Linked DNA regions of Daphnia pulex. The protein of the gene in region 2 binds, or shares a complex with, the protein of the main gene of each other region. Links are inferred from orthologs where the notes say so. Each region holds a gene or a part of one and is shown on either strand. Other genes may lie near its edges.

Evidence for each region.
Region 1: ribosome biogenesis protein BOP1 homolog (region 2) and pescadillo homolog share a complex: the UniProt entries of both Homo sapiens proteins name them as parts of the peBoW complex. The link is inferred for Daphnia pulex from reciprocal best matches to the Homo sapiens genes BOP1 and PES1.

The regions. Positions count from the first base shown.
Region 1 is NC_060028.1:9,968,885-9,984,051, reverse strand, and holds pescadillo homolog, read right to left. Parts: upstream 10,124-15,167; 5' UTR 9,980-10,123; coding exon 9,956-9,979; intron 9,812-9,955; coding exon 9,468-9,811; intron 9,408-9,467; coding exon 9,146-9,407; intron 9,089-9,145; coding exon 8,950-9,088; intron 8,894-8,949; coding exon 8,766-8,893; intron 8,700-8,765; coding exon 8,440-8,699; intron 8,376-8,439; coding exon 8,188-8,375; intron 8,124-8,187; coding exon 8,008-8,123; intron 7,932-8,007; coding exon 7,605-7,931; 3' UTR 7,551-7,604; downstream 1-7,550. Other genes in the region: N-lysine methyltransferase KMT5A-A-like, read right to left, coding at 1-284, 486-812, 880-892; uncharacterized protein LOC124209778, read right to left, coding at 1,612-2,074, 2,131-2,281, 2,348-2,512, 2,578-2,890; uncharacterized protein LOC124209777, read right to left, coding at 4,503-4,788, 4,858-5,017, 5,276-5,428, 5,497-5,561, 6,182-6,621; uncharacterized protein LOC124208492, read left to right, coding at 10,601-10,602, 10,714-10,791, 10,966-11,159, 11,233-11,290, 11,370-11,612, 11,678-11,773, 11,843-12,094, 12,166-12,310 and 2 more; Fanconi anemia group J protein homolog, read right to left, coding at 13,064-13,742, 13,837-14,124, 14,187-14,413, 14,518-14,806, 14,882-15,167. UniProt on the Homo sapiens protein: Component of the PeBoW complex, which is required for maturation of 28S and 5.8S ribosomal RNAs and formation of the 60S ribosome.
Region 2 is NC_060021.1:9,839,794-9,855,207, reverse strand, and holds ribosome biogenesis protein BOP1 homolog, read right to left. Parts: upstream 9,128-15,414; 5' UTR 9,043-9,127; coding exon 8,971-9,042; intron 8,888-8,970; coding exon 8,555-8,887; intron 8,498-8,554; coding exon 8,346-8,497; intron 8,283-8,345; coding exon 8,062-8,282; intron 7,995-8,061; coding exon 7,431-7,994; intron 7,371-7,430; coding exon 7,158-7,370; intron 7,096-7,157; coding exon 6,818-7,095; intron 6,758-6,817; coding exon 6,658-6,757; intron 6,596-6,657; coding exon 6,400-6,595; intron 6,332-6,399; coding exon 6,178-6,331; 3' UTR 6,131-6,177; downstream 1-6,130. Other genes in the region: uncharacterized protein LOC124194447, read right to left, coding at 2,401-3,196, 3,256-4,070; protein charlatan-like, read right to left, coding at 9,417-9,672, 11,535-12,293, 12,503-12,969, 13,143-13,505, 13,572-13,988. UniProt on the Homo sapiens protein: Component of the PeBoW complex, which is required for maturation of 28S and 5.8S ribosomal RNAs and formation of the 60S ribosome.

The DNA.
Region 1 (15,167 bases), on a different chromosome or scaffold from region 2:
TTGTTTTTCCTCTAAAATAGCTGTCTTAGGTTTGCGGACGCTACGACGGACAGCAAAGTATTCCGTGAGCTTGTGATTTTGAGATGAGTCTTGATTGAGGCTTTGATTTACGTTCAGTTTACGCTTTGCTTTCATAGCTTTGACTTTAGGTTCTTTCACTGACTTGTCAACTATAATTTCTTCTTTAATAATTTTTTCAGAAACTTCCTGTGTCTCAGTAATCAGCTGCTGGGGCTCTTCTTCCAAAAGTATTTTATGGGGAGTGACCTCTGCTTTTTCTGGACCTGAGAAATTAAAAGAAAATCATAGAATACTTGTAAAACATTACCAAGGAATAATAATAAGAGTAGGTAGGAGATGGATCAGAGAGAAGATTAAACTGATCTTTTCTGATCAATAGATTAAAAATCTAATATCAGATCATTTCAAAACTTGTTCATCATAAAACTAGAGAACTGAACTGTTTCACTAATAAATTAACTTACTTTGGGATTTGCCAAAGACACGTTGTAGTGCCAAAGACTTTGCAACCTGACCAACTTCTTGATCAATCTTTTCATGTTCAACTTTTGATGCTTCTTCAGATGTGAGTGCAGAAAAATAAACTGTGATCTTCGTTTCTCGTGAGCTTGAATCCAGTATTGGGCTGGTATGTGAAAGTTTTCCTCTAAAAGAGCTTTTTGTTTTATTTGTTACAGCTTCTTTTGGGGTAACTGCTTGTTGCTGAGTAACAGCAACTACTTCATTTGTAGGATTGCTACTGCTTTCGAGTGAGGCAGCTGGCTTCCTTCCTCGCTTGGCTGTGGTTGAACCTATTGGTGTATAAATTGAATTAACTACAAAACAGACTTAAATGTTAAGTTATAATTTTTTCAGTACCTCGCTTCACCATAATGAGCTACTTGATGAAACTAGGATGTTCAACTGAGACCATTAGAGGCAGACTAGATCTCGGAAGACTAATTACTTTGTAGATTCACCCGAATCTAAAAAATTCAAATAAACAGAATCGTTAAATATACACCCATGAGTAACGTCTGTCACCCTAGCCTCTTGACAGTCTCATTTCAAATGATGCTTTCCAAATAAATGAACATCTAGCTAAAGTTATATTCTGATATAATGTATAAACTAGTAACAAAACAAAGATGCTGCTTTGAATCACTGTTACAAAATTGATCAATACCTTACAAAATGTTCAATGAAAAATTAAAAACGCGCCGTAATTAGCCCTCCATTTTCTAAAAAAATCGAGTGATACACATCGCGTCGTCTTGCCTCTTGCTGTCCACTTTTTTTGGAAATAGTAGAGGGCAGCACGAAATTTGTTTTTAGATTCTCTAAATCTAATAATAATTAGTCTACACTTAACAATATCTATTGCTTTAATTGAAGAAATGTAATTACAAAAAGAGCAAATTTTCAAACCTTGTGGGCTTGTGGCGTGTGATTGTGATCTACGAAAACCGTTGAGAACACCAGTCGGTTTTGAACGTAGGGATGGCTGGGAATATGATTTAAACCCCAATTTAATCGGGGTGCTCTAAATCGATTGTTAGCTGAAAGGCGGGAATTTTTTTAAATGATGTGTATTAAGATAGTAAGAAAAACTCAGAAAAGTGCAGAAACATTTCCAACAAAATTTTCCAGTGATTCTTTAAATTTTACGTTTGCTACGACTGATGCGATAATGGTACTAGGATTGTTAACGATATTGGCAACGAGTAACAAGGTTTCCTTGCAAATGGGTTCGTATGAAAAATTCAAAAGTAGCATAATTATCGTGATAAAATCGCTTTCCTTCAGTAAAGCGATTATATGATCATCACTAGAAGCACATACATTACCGAAAAATCGAACCAAAGGCACTAAAACAGAAACTTTTTTTTCTTCAGATAACTGCTTACGAAGTTGACATAATGACCAAAAAACGACTCCGTTAACTAAGATATTCGCATCACAACAAGAGAAGAAAGAGAGTAAATAATTCAGCCAGCATAATGAACAGACATCTAATTCCTTAGAATTTAACAATTTATCGACGTGAGCTGCAATTTTCGTCAAATCAGCCTCCCTAAATAAAAATAATTGCATGAACATTAGTAAAATCGTGTTACGTATTGAACTTACGCTGGGGTGCTTGTTGAAACGTATTGGATAAGGCACTGAACTGCAGAAGTCTGAACATTTCCAAAAGGAGAATCGAATAAGGTCAACACCTTATCCAAAAAACCTTGGGCAGATAAAATAATCTTGCCCTGTGGTAGCATATTTCCCAGGGCTGAATGAGGCAAATTTAAAATAAGTGGAATGCATAATTAACTTCAACGGGAATCAAAGAAAATACCCCAACAACAAGCTTCTTGTAAAGAAGAATTTCCACTTCCCAGCAAAGTTATCAAGTAAGCGCCAGTTACGGAAGCAACCTGACTAACAATTTTAGTTTCATCCTCCCACACTGCAGCGTTAGCAACGCAATAAGCCGCTTCTAATTGTAAAGTCGAATCACCACCTATTGAAATAACATTCTTAAATATGAACTGGATATGAACAAACAAAAACAAAAAATTTCTATACCTGTTAAAAATGTGCATAAGCTTGGAATAGAACCATCAATGCCACAGAAAATAATTGCATTTTGTTCGCACTCTGCTAATGCTTGACTCAGATCGGCGAGAAATTCTCTGTTGACACCCTTCCTCTTTCTCAAATTAGCAGCCATAGAATGGAGATTTACAGGTGAATAGGTACGTGGCTGCAATTGTTCGAGGCCACTTCGTTGGACTGTTGTTACCTTGTAACGTTTTTCTTTCCGTAATCTATTGAACTCTTGACGATTCTCATCTCGAATATTTTGTACAGTATTCTTCGATTCAGCTTCAGAACTCATTTTGTTTTGTATATATTTTTATACAAGTAATCTAGTTCAAGACATCTATGATTTTCTTCTTCAAACTCAACAGCACCTAAGATAATTTGTAATCAAACATTAGGAGTTCAGAAGATTTGTATGAAATACTTACGAATAGTATTGCCAAATATTTTCCACTCTTCTTTATAAAAACTCAATTTTCCTTGAACATGCAAAGTATCGCCTATAGTGTAGTCACCTTTTTCTTTCTCCAGTAAAGTAAGTAAAGTTTCTAAACCTTCATCTTCTTGATTAGAAATTAGCTGTGCAAACAGGAAAATTCTAAATTTCAAGAGGTCAATGTTTAGCATTAATATTCTTGTATTTACCATAATAGATGAATCATTTTTAAGAGATAGTCTTAGTTCTTCAATGTTATCAAGTTCAGCCGACTTTTTTCCAGAATGACAGGATATGACACCAGAACCATCATCCACTAAAAAAAATGAAATCTTGGTTACACAAATTTTAAAAACCATATAAAAAGATTGGTTACATACAAACATAAATATCAGCTTTTTCGTAAGATAACTTATCAATGACAGTTCCTAAAATGTCAACATAGGCGATGACTTTTTTTCCGAATATCGCCGTTTTCGTATCGGAATGATTTTGTTTTAGACTTTTGATGGTACCAATCCACAGTTTTAGGTGATAACTTTCATGTAATGACGTTGATTGTTCGAATTTTGGTTTAGTTTCGTGAGATTTGATATCCCAAGTTTCTTTATTTTCCGACTGGTCCATTCGAAATCGTCTACAAGACTAGTCTGTTACAACGTTGTCACCTGTAATTTTCTTAGTATGTGTCAAACCATGAATTCAGATTCATTTATTGATTCCTTAATATTAAATAGTTTAGTGGATTAATTTTTTTTATTTTAAAGTTAAATTCTTCGCTGTTATTACTGTTGTTTGGGAATCCATTGTGTTTTATTACTATGTGTGTGTGTGTGTGTGGTGGGGGGGGGGGGGGTAGAGAGCCGGGGATGGGGCAAAATAGTCTAATCAAAATAGCGTCATACTCGAATCGAAATTTATTAAAAAAAATTTAAGTAAAAATATTTTCACAAGTAACTTTCACATCAACAAATCTACCTCCGCAAAACTGAAGAATAACTACATTAAATCTACATTATTCATAAAATTGCCTTAAAAGGTAGTTGTACCTGTAGTTGCTTCAAGCACTGAGCATTTGAACCTAATAGAAAAACGTACGTGTTGCCGTCTCTGCACCGCTTGTACAAAAGTACAGTTATGTCGAAGAAATTTGGTTACATTGGATCCCTTGGTTAAATGGGCCTTCAAGATTTCACAACAGTGTGGTTTCACGTGTCGTTCGCTAACTGTATTTTCAAAACAGGGAAAATGGTAATAATAAAAATGCCCTTTTTTACACGTGATGCATAATGACCTAGCACGTGAAACGTTTTTATTCCGACATGAAGCGTAAATGCTGAGTACCGAGGAGTTGAAATAAAGACAGTCATCAGTGGAGGAAGAATCCGTCCGTATATTGAGGATGCGAGAGTAAGAAAGGTTTGATTTGTTGGGAGTGAAACTCCAGGAAAGTAGGTGTTATAAGATCAACTTAAAATACGCGGTTTATGGTGACGAACTTGTAGGGTCTCGGTTGAAAAGGTCTTCTAACGGAGGGACCTGTGCATTCTCCACTTCTTGAGATTTTGGCTGTACATAGCTCCGGCTGCAAAATTTCGAGTTTCGGCTTGGGTAGTCCGTCTGGAACGGACAATTGCAGCTCATCAACGCACGGCATCTGGATGACATTGAAATAGAGATTGCCGATCATCCGCGACACTGGAGTCGGAAGTGCCTTCAAGCAGCTAAAGAATTCGTCGTCGCAGGCGCAATGAGATCTTGAACAAATAAAAAAATGTTTGATTGTGAAATTTCATACAAAATTTTATTTAAAAAATTTCCATTACTTGGTATAAAATGATAGATTCATCAAGCCATGCGCGCTGGCGAAACCCTTCACTTTAATCGGGCAGTGGTCGTGTGCCCGACAGCACTTGTCCACTTCGATTAGAGCACCTAGGTCATCGTAAGACTGGGCAACGTCTCCTGGACCACACCATTTCGTTCCTGCACAAAATAATAGCAAGTAATAGCAAATAAAAAATGTATCTTTCAAATAATCTGTGAGAAAGCTGCATCTGTTCTTTCAAAACACATTGAGTTAAGAAAGCATAGCCTAAAATATTAGTCATCACAAAGCTTTCTCTCTCTTTCGTCACCTTCCGCAGCAAAAAAAGAAAAGCAGTTGGTGATGCGGGCTATGCCCATTTCATAATGCATTTCATTTCTAATACGTGCTCACAATGATAACGTTTACACACGTACCTGGAACAATAGTCGTGACAAACGTTGTCCACGAATTAGATGACGTCGAGTTCTCTGACCTCATTGATCTAGATGTCCATCCCCTTCCGTTCATCTCTATAGGTCCCCTTAGATACTGACATTGTTTAATGAGGTTGACCATGGTATGGGTGTCTGTCATAAAAATTATATAAATTTTACAAAATATAACGATTATAAAACCAAATTATAAAGCCATTTACCAACTGGGTAAATTGGCATGTAGACCGAAAGATTTTTCAGCACTTCTACAGCTTGGTAGTGATAGCTGTTAAAAAATGGGAGAGAAAAAACAAAACATTGAATTGCGCTTTTCAAAAAAAAATAAGTTTTAATTAAGTTATTTTCCTATAGCAATATCATGTATAAACAGCTTGGCATCGTATGAAGAAAAAACCCTTCAATGACGTTCTTCCTGTGAAATTTCTTTAATATATACAGAAATCCGCTAACGGGTTGCCACCTGGCATCGCATGGCGTACTGAAAGGTGTAAGGGGGCAACGGATCCTCGACTACTAACGTAGTATAAGATTAAAAACTCCCGGACAATAGATTCATGGGACGGGTTCTCTTAAGAATGGATACATTTCCGGAGAAAGTTTTCGTTTCTCTTCTCATCCCTCAGGGTGTGTGTAGTTGGATGCAGGTAGTAAAAAAATCAGAATAACCTTCGTTTCAGACTTTCAATACAACGCATTAAAATAAAAGAATTTTAATTTTACACAAAAGAATTATCCTTACGATTGTGAATGAAAGTTAAGCAACAAACAAATGAACTGCGAAAATATCAGTCTCGAAATGGTGTTATGAGAGCAAAAAGGAAAACTAAGTTTCCAATTTTCTCAAATCACCTCTTTTTGTTATATAATACGAAAACGAAATCTTACTTGACTTCCATTAACTTGCAGCTATTCACGTTCTTGTTAACGTAGGTAATAATGGCTACTGTTTCCTCGTCGTGGAAAGCAACGCTGGAAGTTGTGTTGGCTGTTTCAGGGTTCGACTGGATGTTGTTGAGATTCTCCAAGATAATACGGTTCTTGTCAGCATGTTTTTGTTGAGACGAAGGGCGATCGAAAAATTTTCTCAATAGGCGATTCCAGCCAGACGGCGAAGATGATCCGGAACTGTTGTTACCATTGCGTTCCAAGTTGCTGACGGCTTGAACGGTGGCATTGTTGCTGGTGTCATTGACCAACGACTCGGCACTGCTTGTAGAATTTAGAGCTACAGCACTCTCATCGGATGATTGACATTCGCATGGCACAAGGTGGTAGGATAACACGGTTACGGTGAAGACCGCAACAAGCCAAAATCGGACCGACATTGCACGAACTCGTTTCGCCAAAGTTCGTACAGTACGGGTAACGCGATTTTCGTGACAAGTAGTTTAAAATGTAGCTCTTAACAATGAAACTTAAATAGCAAATATGACAACAGAAAAATCACAGATTGGAGAAAGCGGACCACCTATAAGGTGTAGATGGACAGCAAACAGTGCGCGCGGAGGCGCAAGCCAACACACGGAAAGAAACTAACCCACCACTATCCACCAACTCGCTAACAATCCACACAGATCCAAACCAAGTCACGGTTCGAGACGATATGATACCTTCAAAAGAGTTCTCTCTCCCGAAAGAGAGTTCTGTACCGTTAAATCCAGTCTTCAGTCAGTCGGCGACGGCGAAAATCGAAGCGGCTGTTCTCCTTCTCCACGGAAACCTAACGGGTGACTCAGTCAAGTAGAAACAAAGACGACTATGACGGCATTTGGAATAGATAAAATACAAAACACAATTAACCTAACCACAAATTCGAACAGAGAAGAAGAAATTCATCCTTTTGTTGTTTTTTAAATAATCATAAAATAACACTGCATTAGGAAAAGATTCAAATAAAAGAAAATGAAACAGGTAACTTAAATCACCTTGAAGAATAGCTGCCGCACCGTTATTCTGTCGTTGCCGGTTATACCAAGGGCTCCATACACTGGTTTTCCCACTAAAAAAAGGGAACACCAATTGCGGTCATCGCCAGAAGGCATCCCGGTGGCCCAGTTAAGGAGGCCAGCACTGCCAGCAGCAAAGGCAAATGTTCGATAACCCTCCCCCCAAAAGGAAGCTTCATGGAAGTACGCATGCATGCATTTATAAATTGGTCGTAGTCATAACGCGTTAAAAACAAGACAACAAAGGTGTTGCTAGGCCCGCAATTAACTCCATAATTGCCGTATTCATACTAAACGCCTTTCAGAGATTGTTTCCACAATAGCGTGTATTAAGACAAAAAAAGGGAGAAGAATACGACAACTTACGCATCCTTCTTTATTTTCTTGATTTGCGTGTCTGAGGTCGTGGACGATAGGGGTTGAATGGACCATTTCGCGGTCAGTTCTTTCCCAGTAGACGTACTTTTCTTCAATGCTTTTTCTTCCTTTTCGTGGAACTTGCGTTTGTTTTCCAAACGCTTAGCTTCGCGTTCACGGCTCTTACGATTCTTCATCATGGAGCGATACAATCGTTTGTCTTTGTTGCGAATCATAAGTTCACGGAATTTGTAGTGTTCTTTTTCCTCTTCGTCCATACCCTTGATGTCAGGCATTTCAACGCGACCTCTCATTACCTTCATGCCTTTTTTCTGCGAGAAACATCGTTGTAAAAATACATTTAATTGCTTTTTCAGAAACATCGTTAAAAAACAAACTCGTCATTACCTCCTTAACGACTTGAGACTTTGTGGTTTCATTCTTTTTCGGTTTGCTATCTTCTTCTTCTTCACTGCTATCATCCTCACTCTCCTCCTCCTCTTCTTCTTCCTCTTCCTCTTCAGCTAGTAATCACAAGGCATTAATTTAGCAAGCTTAATCAGTACGAAAGGACAAGTAAAAGCATACCTGGAAGGGTTTCGCCGCGCTCTAGAGCCAGGAGTACCTGTCGCTCAGGAGGAATGTAGTCACCAAGACGCTCAGTAACAAAGGGCGAGATATGCGGTGGCAGATTAGCACCAATGAAATAGTCTTCCACCGGAAGTAATCGACGGAAGTTGATGCAGTCAAACAACCATTGGGGTTGGATGTAATAACTGTCGTGAAGAAAAGCGGTTAGATGCGCAGTACTGACACAAATAAAAACCAAGCAATAATTACCGAGAAAGATATTGTTTTTCGACGGAAGGTCTGTCGATAATTTGATGTGTAATGCTTTCATCTGTCTCATCATATGTGGCGCCCGCAAATATGGAGGAATCCCACGAAGCTTCACCATCGCACGCTCGGATCACGAAAACAACCGATTCACGTGGAACTTCGCGACTAATGAAAAACTTTAAACCTTTGAAAAGATACTTCATTCGCTCAATTGCTTCCGCCTCACGCTTTGCTTCATCAAGTTTATCCTGTCCATCAGCCTATTGAATAAATGCTAGTTTTAGAACAAAAACAATAATTATTAAAAAGATTATTATTTTTTTTACCGATGGAAATTCGTCTATTTGAAGTTCTTCCTCTGCTTCGGGTACGTTTGCAACAAGACTCGTATTCAAAGCTGCTACCAGTTCGTTGTACTCTTCAGTAGCATCTTCATCCGCGGCATTTTCGTTAACTACAAATTATTTTTGTAAGTTTATTTAATTAATGAAGAAATATAAACAATATTACTATTAATTCCCGGAAGTTTCGGCGGATACTGAAGATTAATGGAGTGGTAGAGTCGGAAGTTTATGAATCCAAGCATTGAAGTATAAAAATCGACGAAATTTGTCATGATCCTATAATCAACATCCGATGCTGTTGTGGGCTAAAGAAATTGAAGAGATTAGAATGACACTCAAATTATTTGGTAGATAGACATTACCTTGAACCCTCTTAGATGGTTAATAAGAATTGTCACAGGCTGTCCTTTAATTTCTACTTGGTAGTAAATGCCTTTAACTGAAATAAAGACTTTGCGCAAAGCTTTGGCAGCAATAACATAATGTAAAAACTCAACGGTGAGCCTGCGACAAAGTGAAATCAGATTCGCCGGAACTTTGGTGTCTCGCGGTAGAGTCGAATAGAAAAAACAGAGGGTCAAACAATCATCCAGATCATTGAGTGCATCAAGAAATGAAGGGTATCTAAGAAGATAAATTAATCAATAGACAGTGAACATTTTATTATCTATTACCATTTCTTACCTTTCTTTTACCAAATGGTCTAACTTCATGCTAGGCTTGTTATCTTTCAGCCTTGCTACAGTTTCTTTATCACCTTTCTCCATCGCAGTCTTCATCTTCCTCATGAAGATTTTGAAGTCCCTGAACTTCCATATCAGAGGTTCGTGGCTCAAAAATCTGATATCTTTCACATAATACAGGGTCTTCTTGTCAAGCTTTCCCTTCTGGGCTTTCTTTCTGTTGTTGGGTTCACGTGGGTATACACCCTTCAAGATGCAAAGGCGCCGAAAGTCTTTCAAGTTTAGTTGCAGCTTTTTCAAGGCTTGAGCTCTTGTTATATATTTGGTAGCTTCACCTGCTTCGTACTAATTAAAGGATAATTAGTTTTCATCACGTTCTATTTCTCTTTGCTAAGGCATGACACGTCACATGTGCATATTTTAGACAGTGGCAGACAACATGAAAGATACAACACTACATCTATAATATGAACTCTTTTGGCAACAAACCTTTTTCTTCATACGGGCTCCCATTTTTTATGCTTGTTATATGCTATTTCAATTAAACGGATCAAAAGAACATACGCTCGATCGTATTGCGTATTTAAGCGACCACGTGCACCGAAAAGCCAAACTTTATGACAAGCAGACGACGGTATCGGACTATCGGTAGTTGACAATTCTAGTTCAAAAAGGCCGAGAAAACATTTCAACGTTTCCGATAAAACATCAATAAAATTGGGATTTTATAAATTTATCATTCTATAAAATTATTTTCGACATAAATTTACTAAATGTGGTCATTATAAAATAAAATCTTATAAGATTTTAATTGAAAAGCAAGTTATATTAATTATTCAATAGATGGCACTCATGGCAGTATGGATTTGACAGATAGTGAAACTGTGAAATATCTTGGGCGACTTGGCCTCTAATATTGATATTTGCTTTGAAAAAGATGAAAAGAAAAAGTTATCAACATTCGTAATTTCGTATTTCGTATTTATCACTTATCAGTGACGCAAGGTTTGTTAGCCAAATAAAACAGATTGCCAAGCCTAGAACATTGTCTATTCAAAGAAAATCGTTTCTTAGGCAGAGGCTGTTGAAACTTGAAACTGCTTGAAAGCTAAAGGCATATACTAATTACTGGACATGTAGGTATTATATGTAATGATACATTATTGTATACTGTAGTTTTCAAATACTACATAACAATCTATTTGCCCTATGTTGTATTAACCAAATGTTTGTTTTGATTAATATAGGGGATTGCATAATGTGAATCAATCATTCATTTTTCTGTGGCTACTTTTTATGATCTCAGTTCATTTACCAAACACAAAGTAAGTAAACAATTGATTGGTTTGCAATTGAATTGTTTATTCTAGGACATGGGCATAATGAATATTGAATATCGACTTGGTCCAGATGTGTCTTGTGTCATGCAGTATTAACTTGACCAAAATTATATTAAACATGGCAATCATTCATAATTATATTGCTTTATTTACTTACAGTGCTGCAGAGTATGTTATAAAAACATCATGGAATAACATGACAATTGATTCTTCTGATCAAGTCATAATAAATTTGGAGAAACATGATTCTAAGTCATTCAAAATTGTTGTTCAAGCTCCTTTCTACGATGACCCTCCTCCAAACACACCTGGTGATGTAGGTGAACCAAAATGGGGGCTTTGGGATTATGAATGTATGTACTCTACTAACTTTTGTCTATTAATTTTCTGAAAGTGTAAAGTATTATTTTCATTTAATTGATCTAGTGGTAAAAATTTTCTTCTTGAACGATCTACACCAGTATATTGAAATTCAGCTGGGAGCGTAAGTACATTTTTACACGGTTGAGCAATGGCTAGTTTAGTTTGCTACTAGATTAATGGAAGTTCAAATTTTTAATCAGGTGGGGCCATCACTTTGTATTACTCTTGAATGGGTATCGACACACGATTCGTTTCGGAATGTTGATAAATTACAAGGCATACAGGAGTGGCAAACGATGGAACGGAACTGCCATTATTCCTTTAACCTACCTGCCTGTGAACGCTTCCAAATTGAACGTCTTTTCATATCATGGTTCAAGAGATAAGCGTGTCGTAAACGCACTTTATCCTGTTGAAAACATTGCTACTGCTGAACTAGACGAGTAAGTACTACTTCATACATGAGCTGCTTACCTTTAATGTTATTATTAACTTAATTACTTTTTAGTCATAAATTGACATCGTTCCAACCCTTCGATAGCACTGTTTTATTTACTGAAAATTTTGAAGCGATGTCGTCGGTTTGGACGGATGCGCTACAAGGGTACTTTAATCGAAATGCTGATATTTTTAATCCTAAATTTTGCAACACCACTGATGTTTTTTGTTAAAGGATTCGCAGTTTTCAAATCGCTACTTCATGGAAGGGAAAAGAACTTCTTTCCAATGAAACCGTCGACTTACATGTACAACTTGATGCATCACGTACCAATTTGATTCTAAATGTTAGCGCACCCTTTTACAATGATCCAGCTCCAGAAAAAACCAATGGAGGGCCATTTGCAGATTTATATAAATACGAAGTAGTCCATCTTTATTTACTTGGTTATCCGGATTTGAAATATCTGGAAATCGAACTTGGACCGTATGTTTTCGTTATCAAATCACTAAGCGAGCCAATTCTATCTGTTTTAACATTACTTTTTCAACTTGCAGGTGGGGACATTATCTTGTCGTTTTCTGGAATGGCTATTACAACAAAGTTGGAAGTTTGGATTCCCCATTGAAATATTCATTTAATCGTTTCGGAAGTCATTGGAATGGATCTGCCACTATTCCTTTGACGTATCTACCACCCAGAGTACGTAGTAAACAACCAACATCAACCAATTTAGGATTAATAACTTTGATTTGAATAGGTATACTTAATGAATGCGCATTCTACTCACGGCGTTGATGAAGAACGTCAGTGGAACAGTTTGTACCCTGTACCGGAAGGTAGCAATCAGTCGTCACCGGATTAGTAAGAAGCTTTTTCATTTTCGTATCCGATTCGATGCACACGATTAATATCAACCTTCAAATATTTGCAGTCATAACTTGAAGAATTACAAATTCGTCGATCTTACCGAATTATATCCCGAAAACGACGACACAAAATGCTCGCAAACCTGGCAAGCCTTAAATGTATGTCCAAATTCAGCTGTTCAATCGCAAACTGGTGTGATAAGCTTAGTTATTTTAAACGCTATTTTGGTGCTCCTGTTAAATATGTGATAAATTATGTAGTTTCAAGAAATCTTTAAGAAAATAATATGGTGAATAAATTTAGTCAATGTTAAAGCAATGGAACTGTTAATAAGCATCTAAATTGGGCAATTGCCTTTTTTTTTCCCTGTAGTAAAAAATTAAAACACATTTTTACCCACTGTTCCTTAAAAATATTCTGCATCGGTAATTGAAATCTTATTAAAACAACCTGTGCACTTCAATAATTCGATGGAATATTAGCAACACACGTACATAGTGTTGAAATGATAATGAGTAAAGGAATCCACTTACAAGAATATTTCGCTTGGTTGGGAAGAACAACATACAATATTATCAAAATACTTTAAGAATCAAAATCAGGTTTGACGTTTGCGGCAGCTGGATTCATATCCTGGAAATAGTGAGATCCATTCTCGGCAGCCAATTTACGCTGAGAAAGCGATAATTTATTCGGATTCCCCAAAAGAGTGGCGAACGGTTTCTTGTTTCTAGGCACAGGGTGCCTGACGGGAGTTGTCTTCATTTCTGTCGAATGCACAGGCACCGTCGGCGATATCTTGTTAGTCAACAAAGGATTGACTGGTGATGCGTTCATCTGCACTGGACGTGTCTTCAACGGCGAAATCTCAGCAGTGAGACTATCATTCACAGAGAGAATGGAATCGTTTTCATCCTCAGAAAGATAAACCACATTCGGTGACGACACAGCGGGTTTGGCGAAATAAGGTGAGCTGGAGACGGCCATAGGGGTGAACGATTGCGACTCTTCTTGAGTAGATGAAAGTAACTGTTGCTGACTGGCAACCAAAGCAGCAGCGTCTTCTGCTACAAAGTTATCGGCAAATTCCTTCAACGAGTTTAACATGGGCGGAAAGCAGTGGAAGTGACGAATAGAAGACCGGACCCATTTGGATAATTGGTTCACGTATCGTGGCGTTTTTGCAAAACGATCATCCACTAGGAGAATAGCTCCCCAATCGGCTTTGTGTCTGATACAGCGTCCTAGTGCTTGATTCAATGCCCTATTTCACAAACAAACAAACAAACAAAAAACCTGTACTATTTGATGGAAAAGTAATGGATAGACCGAAAGATAATTTGAAAAGAAAAACTAACCTGAAGGCTTGGATCTCGTACCACTCACTTCCGTTGAGTAACGGTGTAGAGGCGGACAATTTGTCATTGTATTGGCGTTTCAATTCGACTTGAGTATCTTTGAAATTTGGGAAAGGGATTCCCACACAAATGACGGCCCGGGCATTGTTATCGGTGAAGTCAAGTCCTTCGCTGACTTTGCCTCGACATACGGCCAACATCAGAGCGCCGCTGGGTACGTCACCAGTTTTTTTGCTCGGGCATTCAGACCCATCACCCGAGCCGTCCAAGTCTAAGCAACTCAGAGCACTAATAAAAAAAACACAATTTTTATTCATTGAAATATGGAGAAAGAAAGTAGGCTGGTTTACTTTACGCTGTCTTCGATGGCCGAGTAAAAACTCTTGAGCGTTTCCTCAAAGTCGCGTGAATCTCGCGACTCGCAAACGATGGTTTTGTAATTGGAAAGGTGTTGCCATAGACCCGTGTCCTGCCATCGAGTGACAAGCTTCTCCAATAGACTGTAAGAGGGCAGGAAGCATAAAACACCGTGCGGAATCGTCTGGCAGACGGACAAAGCCAACCGGCCGAGTTCATCCTTGAGTGAAAAGAGTTGGACGGTCAGAAACGTCAACTGCCGTTGCGTAAACCACACCATCGCGGGTACAACATCGGAGAATAGAAAATAAAGAGGAGATTTACCTGATATTCAAAAGTCCCGGTCACCTTGAATGTCCCGTTGAGCAGAGTGTTCCTAGGCCCCTGCGAGATGGTCCCTATCCACACACGTTTGGCTGGAATGACATGATTGGCCTCCAGAGTGAGCTTGAAATCGATATCGAGTTCCGACTGATAGGAGGCCAAGGGTGACAGCGTGCCCGATGTGACGATGATAGATCGCGTACTCTCTTTGATTTCATGCATCACGACAGCCGAATTGAGACACCATAAATTGAGGGCGTATGTCCACTGCGAGGCGATGTTGGCTTTCCTGAAAAGTCCATTTCCAACAAAATAATTGATTGCAAAGTGAGGCATTTTACAACGTCTCCTGGCATTGACTCACCCGAAAAATGACGATCCAGGTCCTTTTTTCTGTTTCCTCTCGACAGTGCGAACGACTACGGCCCGGTAGTCGTCGCGGTGAATTTGATTACCGTTCAACATCAAATCCATAATCATGAGGAATCCTTCGAGGAGAGTTTGAGTGGCACCCGACAATTGTGGATCCTGGCTGCCCTCTTTGTCATTCCAATCCGACTCGAGTTGCTCGTTGAAGATATAATCGATTATCGCCTTGAGTTCGACCAGCATTTCGGGACCGTAGCCGTCGACGCTCAAATTGGCTACAA
Region 2 (15,414 bases):
GAATTTCAAGATATTTCAAATTTAATAAAAACCTCAAAGATAAGTTGTCGTGATTTATTCCAATTACCTGTTTTGAATGCGTTCCAGCACTTATTATTGTAATAAATTAACTGATTATTTGGGTATTAAGCAGAGCGACAAGTCGATGCGATCCTGGCAGACAGCTGGGCGACGACTGAGACACAGCGGCGAGCTGCCACGGCACAAAAGTGATGAGGGATCGGACAAAGTGGTTGTGTGTGTGTGATCTAACATGTGCCAGTGTCTGAGCGTGGCGCACACGAAAGGGCGGAGCGTCGACAAAGCGGCTGCTCCCGCTCCCCTCTATAACACCATTGGACGCGTTTAGATGCACTCCTCCTCCTGCCGACAGCATACCGCCATCATCTTGGCTTCAAACGCGGACGGCTTGTGCAGGTTGACACATTTCTCCTATTTTGAGAGTAGTTGGGGGAGAGAAAGTGTGAATTTGTTTCTGTTACATTTCAAAATGAATTTCTCTTTGCGCCAGAATTGCGCCATAAAAACTATCGAATAAAATCCCGGGGATCGATCGATATAGCTATAGGCGAAACAGGGCTAGAGAAAGGTTCAAGTATTTATTTCTCGTGTTGGCCCGTATTAGATCCCGAACAGTGACCGTATGTCAACCTTTTTTATATAACTGAAAAACTGCATTGGGCATTGAACTAGAGGAACTACTACCACATATAGACATAGGGTGGGGTGTTGTATATACAAAAGAGTGTCACGTGACATGCACTCTCTTTTATTATACATTGAGCCAAGTCTCTTTTACCACAATACTCCTCTTATGTGTGTGTATGGTGGGGGGGGGGGAGGAAGGAAGGAGGAGGAGGATTTTTGGGGCGCGACAGATGGCGGCCACTACACATCGATGAAAGACCCATTCAATCTACATCAGCGGTGGAAGATCCGCGCTAATCAATTCACCGTCAAAAATGGCGTTGGCTGAAAAACCGGGGCCGGCGGTTCATCAGACAGCCGACATTTATTACATCCAAGGGCCAGCCAACATGGAAGATGATCAATAAGGTCGTCGCCAATAGAAAACAAAAGGATCATGCAGCAGCATCCCCAATGGACCAGATGTTTGTTACTCGTTCGAGGGTGTGTTAAGAGGGAATTGATTGAAACTTTTTTCCCCCCTATACTCTTTCAACTTGAAAAATAAAAGACTCGGGGGAGACAGAGTCTATGACTTTTTCCCTCGTTTAAACACACACAATAAACCGCGTGCGGTCTCTCATAGACAAGGGAAAAAAAAAACGATAAAAGTATCCGGTTGCACTCGACTATAGCGACAGCTTATTTGATACAAAAACAAATTGTGTTGAAAGAAAAACGAAGCAGGTGGGTACTATTTTAAAAAAAGATAAATTAAATCAATTGAATTTGGCGCCAAAAACGAAATTCAATTGAATAGTATTGAGGTTTCCGGTGAATGTTACCACAAAGAGGCTGATGGTTGAGGATTGAGAAAAAGCTTTTCCTTGCACAGCAGCAGAGAAAACGCACCTGCACGGTCGAGCGAGCAAATCAGTCTTCTTCCTTCCTTCCTGCGGATGGAAAAAAGATAGAAAATGGCCCAGTTGCTGTGTGATGCCGTACCGCAAGAGGATAGGAGGCAATAAGCTTATATACGGTGTGTGTGTGTGTGTGTGCGGAGGCAGATGCAATAACCGAGTGAAGCCGAGCGGATAATATCCTCCACATCAATCGACTGAGAAAGACACAGAGTGAGGAAGAAAGGGAGGGGAACAAAAAAAAAGGAGATCACCATCACAAACAAACCACATAGAGAGAGAGAGAACCTATCGTGATATTATTATTATTTCACCTCTTGTGTGTGTGTGTGATGGAAAAGCGGCGGCTCAGGTCTTCCTTTCGGGGAGAGATGGATGGCATTATATTTAGACTGAGAACAGCCTCACATGCTGCCCGTTTCTCACACATATGGGTGGTCGCACCCAACAGCACACCCAACTTCCATCATCCAGCCTCCGCCACAGCATCTGACTGTTATTATCCTAAGCTTCAGCGCCGTCTCATTTTACAGACAATCCAGTTGACCGAAAAAATAGAAAATAAAAAGAAATCACGTAAAGCATAAGTAATATGGTGGAAAAATAATAATAACTAAAGAATCGTTGGCTGTAATTACCTGCTACGGGATGAGAATCAAATGTTTGTTGTTTTTTTTTAATGAGGGACATCTAGCGGAAAAATATTTTACTGCATAAAATATTTATTTGGCGCGCATCTTTTAAAATAAATATACAGCACGTTTGACTTGCTCATCATTTAACAAGGAATATGTCCATTATATAGAATACACACAAGGCTATTTAAAATTTTAAAAATTATGAAAGCTTGGACTCACAGCCAGATCAAAGAAGTAGAGATTTCGTCGACGTCGATTTCTTGAATGGCCGCACGACAGATTTCAATCAAAGATTTAACTTGATATTTTTCCGCCAATTTCAATAGGGACTGGGAGTTGGCTGATACTTTGAGCTCTCCCGTGTACAAGAAGAAGAGAAATTCTTTGAAGGCGTCAGGATTTACGCCATCATCGATTCGAACTTTTCCCGTGACAGATTCGACCGTTGAGGTATTGAACAGCTCCGTGAATACCGGACTCCTTGAAGAGATAATGACTCGATGTACTTTGAAAATTTTTTTCCCAACTTGAAGCTCGGCGTCGGTCAGGATGGCCAAAAGGAACATGTTCCAGTAGTCAACAGAGCGGAGACTGTCCATCAGTTGGTATCGAAAATTTTCGAGATTTTCTCTGATGAGGATGTCGAATTTGAAAGAACTTGGTGCTACGAGATCGTAGAGTTCCCGGCCAAAGATGTATAAGGCTTTTTCACCTCGTCGCTCCATCCGGCAATATTCGGCGCCGTCAATGTAACTCTCAACATGGGATATGGATGTGCCTGTTTTCTCCAGGTGAGAACAGGCCAGGTAAAGGAAATGCTGTGGGGATAAGAGAGTTGAGTGCTTGGTGGATGGATGATCGGCCAGTCCCGCCCGGAACGCTCCATCGTTGCGGAAATTCAATTGATCTGAAGTGAACAGCTTATCGTCTTGCGGCAATTCTTCCACCCGCCAAACGCATTCGATGACTGTATAGTACTTTTGGAAAAACAATTGAGCTTTGGTCTTCTCTCTATAAATAGACAAAATAAATAAAATGAAGGAGTAAATAAGACTTTGAGTTTATCTTACTTGAGCTGAGGTTTCTTGGGGCAAATTTCAAAGTCTGGTTTCATGGCCATGGCGAATGATGTGAGTTGATTAGCATCGATATCTTGAACTGCCAACTGGCAAAGGGATTTCAACGTGCTCAACTTGTAACGTTCTGCCAATTTAAGGAGTTCTTCGTTAACACTTCGGTGGTTGTTGACCTGAAAGACGCCAGTATAGAGAAATCGAAGAAACATTTCAAAAACAAGGGGTTCTGTGTGATCGATCTTGATTTGACTGCCAACAATCAGCGATTCAATTGAACCAAACAATGTTGGACTTCGAGCTGCCAGAATGGCCCGATGTGCCGAAAAAATGTGGTTTTGGACTGAAAATTCAATGTCAGTCCAGAGTTTGTTCTTGGCAGTCAACCACAACTGATCTGTAAATAGAATATCTGACAATTGGTAACGATAGTTTTCCAATGTTTCGATAACGTGGACGCCGAACGTGAATGTCTCTTGCTTCTGCCATTCACAATCAATTATTTCTTTTACGAATAACTGAAGGTGATCCAGCTCATTCTCACAAAGGTTCATGTGTGCATCTAGGTCAGGTTTTCCTTTGATCTTGACAGATACTTTCGCCACTTTATAGCCAATCTTGTGCAAATTGGTACAAATGAAATACAACCTTGTCTTTGTGTCTTGACCACCAACTTTTTTCAGGGCAAATCGAAAAGCTTTCAATCCCAGAAACTCAGCCATTTCGGTCATGATTGAGCACCGTTCAGTCAAATCTTTAAATTTCCACTGGTACATCAGAACCCTTCCAGATTCGTGACATTCTCCCTCCATTTTAATTGCAAAATGTTAAATAACGACAGAAATAAGGCGTTGAACTCTGAAAAGAACAATCGAAATAAAAATAGAATGGATTCACTTTCTAAAATTGAAATTTGTAGATTTAAGATCTCCGCTACTCTCAAGTCACGACTCAGCCAGACTCAGCTGTCAAGAGAATTATGCAATTATGTTTTCTGACTTTTCTCCTTAAAAAAACAAATGAATAGAGCATAATTTAACCGCGAAAGAAAATTTGCAACATTGCAAGTTTCTTTAAAAAACAAGTGCTAGTGGAACAAATTTGTTATTCACAAACATCCGTTTTGAATTATAATAACACAGACATCTGATAACCAAAAATGCGTCTCTGAAAAAAAAGAATAGTGTCGGTGTGACTTAGATCGTCGTAATGCGTTGCAAATGTGAAAAATTTTTCAAACGACATATTTGTGAAAGCATGTACGCAACGCCAAGTTCATTCACATTGCAACCTTCAATGTTTGCAAACCCCATGAAAACCTGTACGTTTTTGCTCTTGGCAGATTGCCAACTTTTACTTTGCAAGAAATTTGCAAATGACATAACAACCGTGTCCCTGAAAAAAGCGGATTCGCGCTTCACATAATGTAGGAAAACCATCAGAAGAATGTCAAATACAAAGTTAAGCATGCTGGCTACGTGAGCTCACATTTATTCGACCCTCAATTTTTGCATACCGTTAGCACAAGTCGGCGCCGCGTATTTTAGTTTTTGGCAGTCGGCCGATGTTTACCAGTCTTGAACCTGAAACGAAAAATTCGGGAGTCGCTGCAGTTAAGAATAGGATTCACTTTTTCCTTTCTTTTTAATTATGTCCTCATTTTCTCACCAGTTTACACTGCTTCGTATAGGATAACTCCAGTGCTAAGAATTTTTCGTGGTATTTTCTACAACCACTTTTTAGCATCACATTTACATGTAATTTTAGGTCACTTGAGATCTTTCAACTCTCGAAATTTCTATCAGATTTCTACTTTTGATTTTTGGTCTCAAAATAGACGTAGGCCACATTTATCATTATATACGTAAGAATTACGATAAAGACGACTTTGTTTACTACAGGTTTGCCTTTTTACCCTTGGCCGCCTTGACCAGTTAAAAAAAGGTTCCCGTTTTCAACTTTTATTTGACAGGATAGCAACGCTGTGACGCCTAGTAACGCTATAACTTGGTAACCAACTTACTCGTTATAAGGGTTTCGTCTGCGGCCGTGGGTGGTTTCAAGGCCACAAACGTTCTGTTTTTTTCTCTCTCGAGGCCGTATATAATTTCCGCAAAGCCGATTTCCGCGGTTAATTCGGCCGGCGACTTCCTCTAACTTGGGCTGGTACTTAAACACTCTAGGTGAAAAAATTTCCAGTCTTTAGATTTCATTGGGTTTTAACAAATTTATTTTCAAGATGGGGTACCTGTATTTCCAGTTATTTCGTCACGTGCTAGTTACACATATCAGTGTGAAACATGTCCTTTTTTATACTAGTGAAAGCGTCTGTTTTTGCGCGTTGTGTCCATTTCATTTCAAGATATTTAATGTTTGATTCTCATGTTTAGGCAATGATTGTTCAAGTTTCCACTGTACGCACAGCCTACAGATGGACCACTGGGGTAAGTTAACTTCTGAAATTTTATCAAACATACCGTTCAATTCCAATTTTGTGTCTTAGTTTGCAAGACTGCGATCTGAAGGATGGCCCCCACAGTTGACTGCAACTCTTATGGCAATAATTGGAATCGGAATGTCTTCCTTCAGTGCTGCACAGATGTCTGCAGTGCCAGCTTCACCCAACAAAAAATACTTCCCGAGAGGACCATGGAATTGAAACTAGACCACTTATAAAATTTAATTATGACAATGAACAATGATCGACCTTTCTTGGTGCCATGGGTTTTCAATCATACAATATCATGTATCGCTTATTTATAAGTGCTGCACAATAACCAAACTGATGTTTCCATTATTGAACGAATACAATTGTTAGTCTTCTTATTTTATCAATTGTAAAATTTAATAAATGAAACAAATGTCAAACAAACATGTTTCAGTTGTGTAATAATCGTGTGCCACTTGGAGTTCAGTGCGTTACGTGTACAATCGAATCGTAGCATCTGCTCCACTGGTAAACAACCATGGTTGTGTAGGGTGGAAGAGAACATCGAAAACACCGAAATCATCAAATTTGGCATGCCCACGCAGTTTCTTCAACGGGACAATTGTTGGGTTCTTCAACAAATCGCTATAAATTTAGAAAAATAAAAGTAATGAGAAGTTCAACAAACAAATTAAGTAATCAAGATGTCTTACTTGTAGACCATTCCATGTGAAACAATGGCAGAGCAATCGTCCGATCCAGAAGCGAAGAGAGGGTATCGTTTGTGATAGGCCACTGCACGAATACCTTGACCATGATGACGCAGAGCTTGATAAGGTTTAGTTGATAAATCCAAGTCGAACCAGCAAAGACGACGATCGTGAGTTCCTACGAGGATGTTGTCTCCACCTGTTACAAGTAGATGGATGAAAATTAGACTGCAAATAGTTGTTGGGAAGTTTGAACTTTACCTGGATGAACTGCAATCGAAGAAATCCATTTGGCTCCTGTCATTAATTTTTTGGTAAGTTCTTGTTTCAAAAGATTGTATACTCGAACGTGACGTTGTGTCTGCCAAAAAATCTCAAATTAAGCTTCAGTTAACGTGAAATTTAACAAACAAAATATTACCGCAACAAATAGATAAGGTCTAAGGGGATGGAACAGAGTGCACTGCACAAGTCCCTTGGATTTGCTAAAAGGCAACTGTGATCTGCGTCGAGAAAGTTGATGGATCAGCACGGATCGATTGTCACCTTCCGGCATGACCGACGAGAAGTAGTCGCCCTTTGAATGCCAGGCTACGTGTTTCACTGCCTTGAAGTGAGTAAGAGTAACACGGAATCCACTATCCCATTGAGCCTTATCAGGCTCGTTCCACGTCAAAACAGCACGAACTCGTTGAGGAACTGAAAAAAGAAGTAGTACGACATTTAAAAATGAACTGGAGCAGAAATAAAAATGAGCTTACTAAGATAATCTGTTTGCGCAGGCATTTCCTTGAGAATCTCATCTGTTTTGGCTTGGACAAGTCGATCTCCTACACCAGGGTTGATTAAATAGACGTTATTATCAACCGCAGCAGCCACCAGAGCAATAGACGAGTTCGGGCACCAAGAAACGCAACGGACAGTTCCTTTAACTTCAAAAGTCTTGAAACAGCGGCCAGTTGCAATCTCCCATACTGTGAAATAAAAATTGAAAATGGATGAAATGTTACCAAAAAATCATTTTATCAACTTACCCTTAAGTGTTTGATCATCGGAACCAGAAATAAAGAACTGGCCTGAAGGATCGTGACTAATAGTACGAACAAGTCCTTTGTGGCCCTTGAAAATCATAGAGCAGACCGTTGGGAACGGTTGGAGATCCCTTGGCTTAGGCAATTGCGGTACAAGATCTTCCGGTTGGATTGTCAAACGCATCTTCTTGGCACGAGGGCACAAATAAAGATCCAAGCAACGAACGAATCGCTCGCGAGCGAATCTGTCATAAGCTGGCACTGCTCTCAGCGAGCTAAACCGTTGGGGAATAAATGGGAACTTGCGCTGGTACGGAGTTTCGGCTAAGCGATTCCATTGATTGATTTCCCTTTCAGAAAAGGCGTACTCTGGAGGGGGATTGTAGGACTCGGCATGCCCCGGAAGTCGAGGTTTCGGAGCAGGGATAGGATTTTCAATACGACGAACATCCTCCGACTTGTCATCGGCATTCCAAAGCAAATAATACTTGTGCCGTTCAACGGATGTGTCTTTAGCCACACGAGGTTTCATCCAACCCATCTTGATAGCGTGCACCATTCGACCAACTAGAAAGTGTAAAAAAGGATTAGTCTAACTTGGAAACACGTTGATAACAAATCCACTAGCAGTCACCTTTAATAGCTTCAACTCTTGAGGGAATAAAAGATCTTTTATGTTCAGGTCTACCAGTAACAGGTGTTTCCATGACTTCGTTAGTGAACCAATCAACCCATGGTTCATAAGGGTTATAGCTTCCATCAGGTATTCTACTACCCATGACATTTTTGATGAGATCCACATCCTCATTACTCAAGATAACATCCTGGCCTGTCTGTGGATCATAAACTGTCCGCCTGTTGCAATATCAAAATAATTTAGTCAACAATCAAAGGGACAGTGCTGTGAAAAGTGTTTACCATGACTCTGGATTCTCCATTTTCCTCAAGAAATTGTCAATTTCATCTCCTCGTTTGGGTTTGAGAATTGCTTTTCCTTCCAAATCATAACCAATATGAGGATAGTCATTATACCAGTTCATTGGAATGTTTCCCACAGTGTTTCTCAAATCCTGAAGATAAAATGTTGTTTCAGAAACCAATATAGCACATTTTTAAAACAAACATACTTCCTCATCAGAAGAATCATATGCATATTCATCCTCTACAGGAGGAGCTGGCAGTTGGGCAGTAGACGTAGAGGGTCCATCTTGTGCGATGGGTACAGCAGTGGGTACCACTTTATTCTCCGCTGTGTCATCCTCACTATCCTCGTTGGTACTCATATTGTGTACTTCATCTCCCTCTTCTTCATCCTCATCACTACCTTCTTCCCAATCAGAATTATCTTCTTCGTCATCACTATCATCTTCCTCGTCATCTTCTAAACCGGAGTATTCACTAGATTCCTCGTCGGTGCTGTCATCGGCATTGTCGGAAACTTGTGCCTCAATTATGTCGTCCTAGAAACATGTAAAATACATGTCAAATACACAGAAAAAGAGGTAATTCATTTCCTAATCCAATTTCGGTGATTTCTACTTACCACTTCAGCGGAATTTTCATTGTTTTCAACAATTTCGAGGCGACGTTTAGATGATTTCGAAGCAGTCGCCATCTTCACCTTACGCACGTGTGTACTAGAGAAAGCGTTGCCAGATTTATTTTTATCATCCCTCTCGCGTATAAAAATGCCAACTAATCAATCGATACCTAAGAATATTTTTTTCTTTATATCATATGTCTTTTACTCTTTATTTTCAGCAGCATAGATGTAAACAATCGAATGTGATTTTTTTTAAATCGGCAACACTTAAATTGGCAGGGGTAAACATTCGATAAAAATTATAACGGGAACATTATTAAACCATAACGACGACCTGTGTAAATGAACGGATTACTTGAAGGCTACTCAGGTTAATTGTGCAAAATTACAAATAAAACGGATGTAAAATTATATATTCTTTCCAATAGATTGTATTGGCGAGTCCATCAGTTTTGGCAGGTTTCCATTGTACCATTTGTTGAACGGTGATGGTTTTCGGCCAAGTGGGCATGAATTAGGTTGCCATCGGTGGTACGGAAATCGCACAGTTCACACTGAAGCAGAATTTGATTAGGACGATTTTCCATCCCCACGACATCCGGTCCCGTTTCATCCATTTGATCCATCAGTGGCTTCTGCTGATTTGCCTTTTTGCCCTTGGCGTTGACGATACTCCTCTCCGATTTGACTACGGGATTCTGACTAAAACAAACTCAACATCAAACGTCATTTCTATTTTTGGGGGTTTCATCATCGGGTAGGTAATAATGTGTTGTATAACCCGTATTTGAATCAATTCAGTTTAAATAAATGACCTACCTCAGGGTGCCAAATTCCTCCACCAAAATAATAGAAAATCACACTTGTTGTGTAACTTTTGTTTTTGGCAGGGTTAATAATTGAAAAGACGTAGACAAGGCAATGAAATCTTTTGGCAGTGAAGCCGAAACAATTCTTGTCAAGGGAAACCCAAGCGACACACATAAAAGGACATGTTGAAAAAACCCCAGAATGACAAAATCCCATCAACGAAAAGAAGGAAAATGAAGCTCTTTGGCGTGTCCCAACAAAAATATTGCGGGAAGATTTGAAAAGTGCGCGAAACAAAAAAGTCGACCAGGGATCATAAAGAAATCCAAAAACAATCAGATACGACGAATAATGAATCGAAAAAAAAAACGGGATTTGTATTCTGTTATCTGTGTGTGTGAAAACGATTTTTGTACATTTTAAAAAGTGAGGAGGGGTAGGCAAAAAAATCGGGAGGATATCAAAGATCTTTTTTTTAGTCAATCGAGAAAAATTTTCAACATTGAAAAACTTCTTTATTAATTGAATTTTTTTTACAACTGCATAAGAAAATGAGGGAGAAAAAAAAATGAGATTATTAACTTTTTTTTTAATCTGTTGTTTATCTATCAAAATGATGGTGATATTTTATTTGAAAGGGCTATAAAGCAATTTGTTTTTCTGCTCGGAGCTAATAACAATTTGGCTCGCACTACAAAGAATTGTTTTACTAATTCCGAGTGCTAGATATTATTCTTTTTTGTCTTTTGCAAATTAGTTTCTCTATCGTAACTTTCGTCAGAATAGTTCTATTAATCACACACACACACTCTCACACAGACAACCACACACACACACATTCAGGAGGGGGGCGCATGGGGAAACAAAAAAGCGAAACAAATGACAGGTAAAATCTCTCAACACCCGAAATTCAAAAGAGTTAAATCGATCCGTCAATTCCCAACACGTCACAACATGGTTTGGATTTGGTGAAGGTGGTGGGGAGATTTTTAAAGCTGGCAAAAAAATATTATAGTATAGTTAAGCGGCCGTGTGTTTGGTTTTTTTTCTTTTTAAAAAAACAAATTCCCCGTAATTGTGATTATTTCAATTGCCTCTAGTCAAACATTTTTTCCCTGTACGGAATTGATGGATCGGATTCGAACCCCCAGTGATAATATAAGCCAACCGAAAAAATGTACAAAATAGGAAAAAGGGAGAAATGAAGATTATCCCCGAAAACAAATTCGAAAGCTCCCGCATTTGTAAACTCTACAGATGATTTTTATGGCGCCCACCTGTGTGTGTGTGTGTGTCAAACACCTGCACAATATTCTTTTGTATAAAAAGAAACACAACAACCCCACTATACACACACACACACACTCGACAAAATAGTACCAATCGTTGGCTGTAAAACACGTCAAACCCGCGTGCAAGGCCATCATTTTGGGTGAGTCAATTACCCACAAAAATAAACCAAATATTAAGGGGGGGGGGGGGAAATAAGGTGTGCGGCGGGATGAAGAAGAGAAATAAGCGAAACAAACTTTGGCTTCAATTCAAACAAAAATATGGATGGCTGTTTGTCTCCCTCCCTTTACCCAAAGTATCAATTTTTGGTGGGATCCATTGCGCTCGGCGCCCAGGATGATTTGCATGTGATGTGAATGAAAATGTGTGTGTGTGTGTCGTGTGTATATTTGGCGAAATGTTTGTGAAGAAGAAAAGAAAAACGCGAGGGACTTGTTTTTATTCCGGGCCATTCTACTTACTGATGTTCACGCATGTGTTGGCTGAGGGCGTCCTGGTCGTCTGCTAAAAAGTTGCACTTGCCGCAAATTCGCTTATTGTGAACTTTGTGGACGTGAGTGGCCAGCCGTTCGGAGCGGGCCGCTTTGTAGTCGCACAGGACGCAGAGGTAGGGTTTGATGTGGGTGTTGAGATGGCGTTTGAGGCACCAATTGTCCACTCCTCGCCAGGCGCAATAGGTGCAGGCGTACAACTTTTCCTTCTTCTTCTTCTCGCCACCGCCAGACGCCTGAGACGACTGACCCGACGTCGAACTGTTTTGCTGCTGCTGCTGACTCGTCGGTGTGGCGATGGTGTGAGTCGGTCGGACTAAGGCTTCCACTCCGAGTGTTGTGTAACTTTTATAGGCTTGCGTAGGTGTGGGCTGACTGGGGAAGGCCGGCAACCCCAAATGGGATTGATAGGCCGCTACAACTGTCGCAGGAGGACGCTGGACCGCCACTTGCTGTTGTTGTTGTTGCTGCTGCTGCTGTTGTTGCTGCTGCTGCTGTTGTTGATTGTTTTGACTGGCCACCGATTGGCTACTTTGCTGCTGTTGTTGTTGTTGTTGCTGTTGTACCGCCACGGTTGTGTAAAAAGGGACTTGAGTAGGAGGAACAGTTGCGGCAACAACAACGTGAGCAGCTGGTGCTTTGGCGGCGGCTGCCGTTGCGTGATGTCCACCGTGATGACCATCACCTCCCGCAGCTTTCTTAATCTTTTGTAAATCGTACGCCGTATCCCTGCAACAAACGAAATAAAAAAATTCCGGAATGAATAAAAAGGAAAATTTAAACTAAAAATCTAAAAACTAGTTTTGCTCCAATAGAGAGAGAGAGAGATCCATATAAATTGTATCGGGAATAACTGGAATGAAATAATCAAACGTGGAAAGTAAAAAACAAATTTCAAAAAGTCTGGGGTTTTGTTTTTGTTTTGCAGAGATGGATACCTATGCATGCGACTAAAGTGTTTTTTGCAGTGATCGGCCCGGTTAAACTGCTTGTCACAAATGAAGCACTGGAAGGGCTTCTCTTCACTATGAATGGTCTCGTGCCGCGTGTATAGGTCCCTCCGATCGGTGGCGTACGGACAATAAGGACATGAGTACCGTTTGTCTCCTCCGCCGCCCGCTCCGTTGCCTGGCGACGGCATTTCGTCCTTGCTCTCGACGCGGTTCTTGAGCGCCAATAGGTATTTGGTCACCTCCTCCAGCACGGGATTCTCGCGCCACAGCGAACTGTCCGGGTTCTGTTCGTTGTGCTGGCGGGCCAGGTGCATCCGGATGCAGCGAGCCCACGCCGAATTGTAGTGGCAACGCGGGCACTGGAACACACGCAGGTTGGCGTGCGCTCCTAGCCAATGCTCGGCGATGCGGGCCAGGAAACCCACGCAGCCGCAATCCAGGCATCGAAACAGCTGGAAACATAAATTGAAAAATTCCAAACATTATTATTTAAAAAAAAAATTGGAACACACGATTGATCGTTATCTGATTAGGTCATGGAATTTGTTTTTCCCTTCAAATTCCTGCGCTAAAAGAATTGACGGGGGATATAATGCGATTAGATTTTTAGGGAGGAGTAGTTCACCTTGTGAGTTGCATTGTAAGAAGCCACTTTTGACGAGTTCCATGGTAGTAGGTCATCGCTCTCCACCCATGTGGATTCGACGGGTTTGCCGCTGGCTCCGGCCGCGTTGCTGTTGTTTTGAGCGGCGGCGGCGGCGGCTGCTGCAGCAGCTGCGGCCGCTGCCGCCGCTGCAGCCGCCGCTTTTTTTAACTTGACGCTCATTTTGGGTTTCTTTGGCGGCGATGGATGGTGTCCGCCCGTATTGACGTGCGGAGCCGCTTCCATCGTCACTTGCAACACGGGACCGCCTGTCGTCTGAACAATCAACGTGGGTCCCGCTGAAGCTCCTTGACCCGTCGTCTGATAATGGCCATCTTTGCCAACCTGAAGAAATATAATCACCATTAAAAATTGAGGAAATAAAAATGTAATTAATTTAAGTTTAATTACCGCTTGATAGTCTAGATCCATCATACCCAATTCCCCCTGTGAATTGGCTTGTCCTTGCTGTTGTTGCTGGCCTCCTCCACCGGCAACAGTTCCGTTCTGGTCGGTTCCTTGTTGAACGATGCCTCCAGGCACTAGTGCTCCTTCACCGTAGAATTTCTTGGCTATTTCGTGAAACATGTCTTCGTAGCAATCCATCGGTACAACGGGTACGGGCGCTCCATCCATCGTCTTGGCCTGGACTTGAACGGAAGCCGTTGGAGCACGGGCTCCGCCACTGGGCGGAGGTGCGCCAGTTCCAGTGCCGGTAGCCGGCGTTCCGGCAACACCACCACCACTGCCGGCCTGGGCCGGGACGAAACAAGCCGCTGCCGGTTTCTGTTCCGATGTCAGGTAACTCAGGTATAGAGGAAAGGCCATCTACGAATGAAAACACACGTCAACTATTTTTGGGTTGTCCCGATTGATGATGATGACCAACCGGACTGTCACATAACAAAACACAAAATCGGGTCAAGTGTGCGCAGACGCTAAAAACGTTCCACATCCGCCATAATCAATGAAGCGCACACACTAAACACAACATGTTAAAAAGTCTCCACCCTCCGGCCGGCAGCGGGAGGCCATAAGGTCACGGCACCAAAATGAAAAATTCAGCCCAATAATTCCGTCTCCATATCAAACAAAATGACGCAATCGGGGATAACACGAAATTTTGTTCACGATAAAAAAGACAAAATCTTTGGCACGGGTGTTTCACCCACCCCCACTGTGGACGTGGGTGGTACACAATAAGATGGAAAAACCACTCAAACTTCTTGCGTTTTATTTTCTTCTTCTCACTTGGACACAAGAGGGAGTTGTCTCTCCCCTATAACCACCCCACCAACTTTCGTGAACGTGTTGGTCGTCGGCCGAAATCCTCCTCCGAACCACACACACAACACACAGAGACGCTGCTGGGTGGAGGAGGGAGAATATAAGAGAGAGAAGAGGGGGAGAGAGTGAGGGGGAGAAAAGACTCTTGTCTTCTCTCTCTCGCCTTCTCCCAACGCCCGGAGAAGAGAGGGGGTCTGTCTGTCTGTGTACGGGCACCAGCTCCACTCTCAGAAATGGCCGACCAACACACACACACACACAGCACAGAAAGAGAAGGGAAAAGATATTGAAGCCCTCCCACTTCTCCACAACTATACAGTGGCCGATCTAGCAGAAATGGCGGCCGAGAGAACGTCCTACACTCGACAGAGATCCAAATTTACATCGTCGGATCTAATCAATTTCATCATTTCATTACGAAACGCACGCTGATTCACTGCATCCAATCTTACTGATTTCTCTACCAACTCGAATTAATTTGCAATATCCGCTGAGAGCCCCCCCCCCCCCACAAACAAAGTAATTCGCTCGACAACAGGTGGATTAGTTACACAAAGTTTAACTGCGATTAGATTAAACATGATCTGGTGGAAAATTCGATTTTTAGGTCAAGGAATAATCGATTAAACTGGTTTTGGCGTCATTAAAATGCGATCGAAACACAAACAACAAACATTTGCCATCAGCAGCCCCAACCTAGCCGCCATGAGAAAATAGTCGTGGCTGTGGGTATACCTCCATCATGTGTATACGTGTGGGGTGTGTACGGCTGGGGGGACGCCATTGAAAGGGCTTCTTTCCCTTCTCGACATTCGAGCAAGAATGAGAAGTGGGAATGACCAAATTGTACACACACACAACACACACACACCATCTACAGCACTTCCATAACTAGCAGATGATCATCACGATCAGTAAACAAATACCGCGTGAACAATTCGTGTCTCGTGTGATTGTGTGTTGGTGA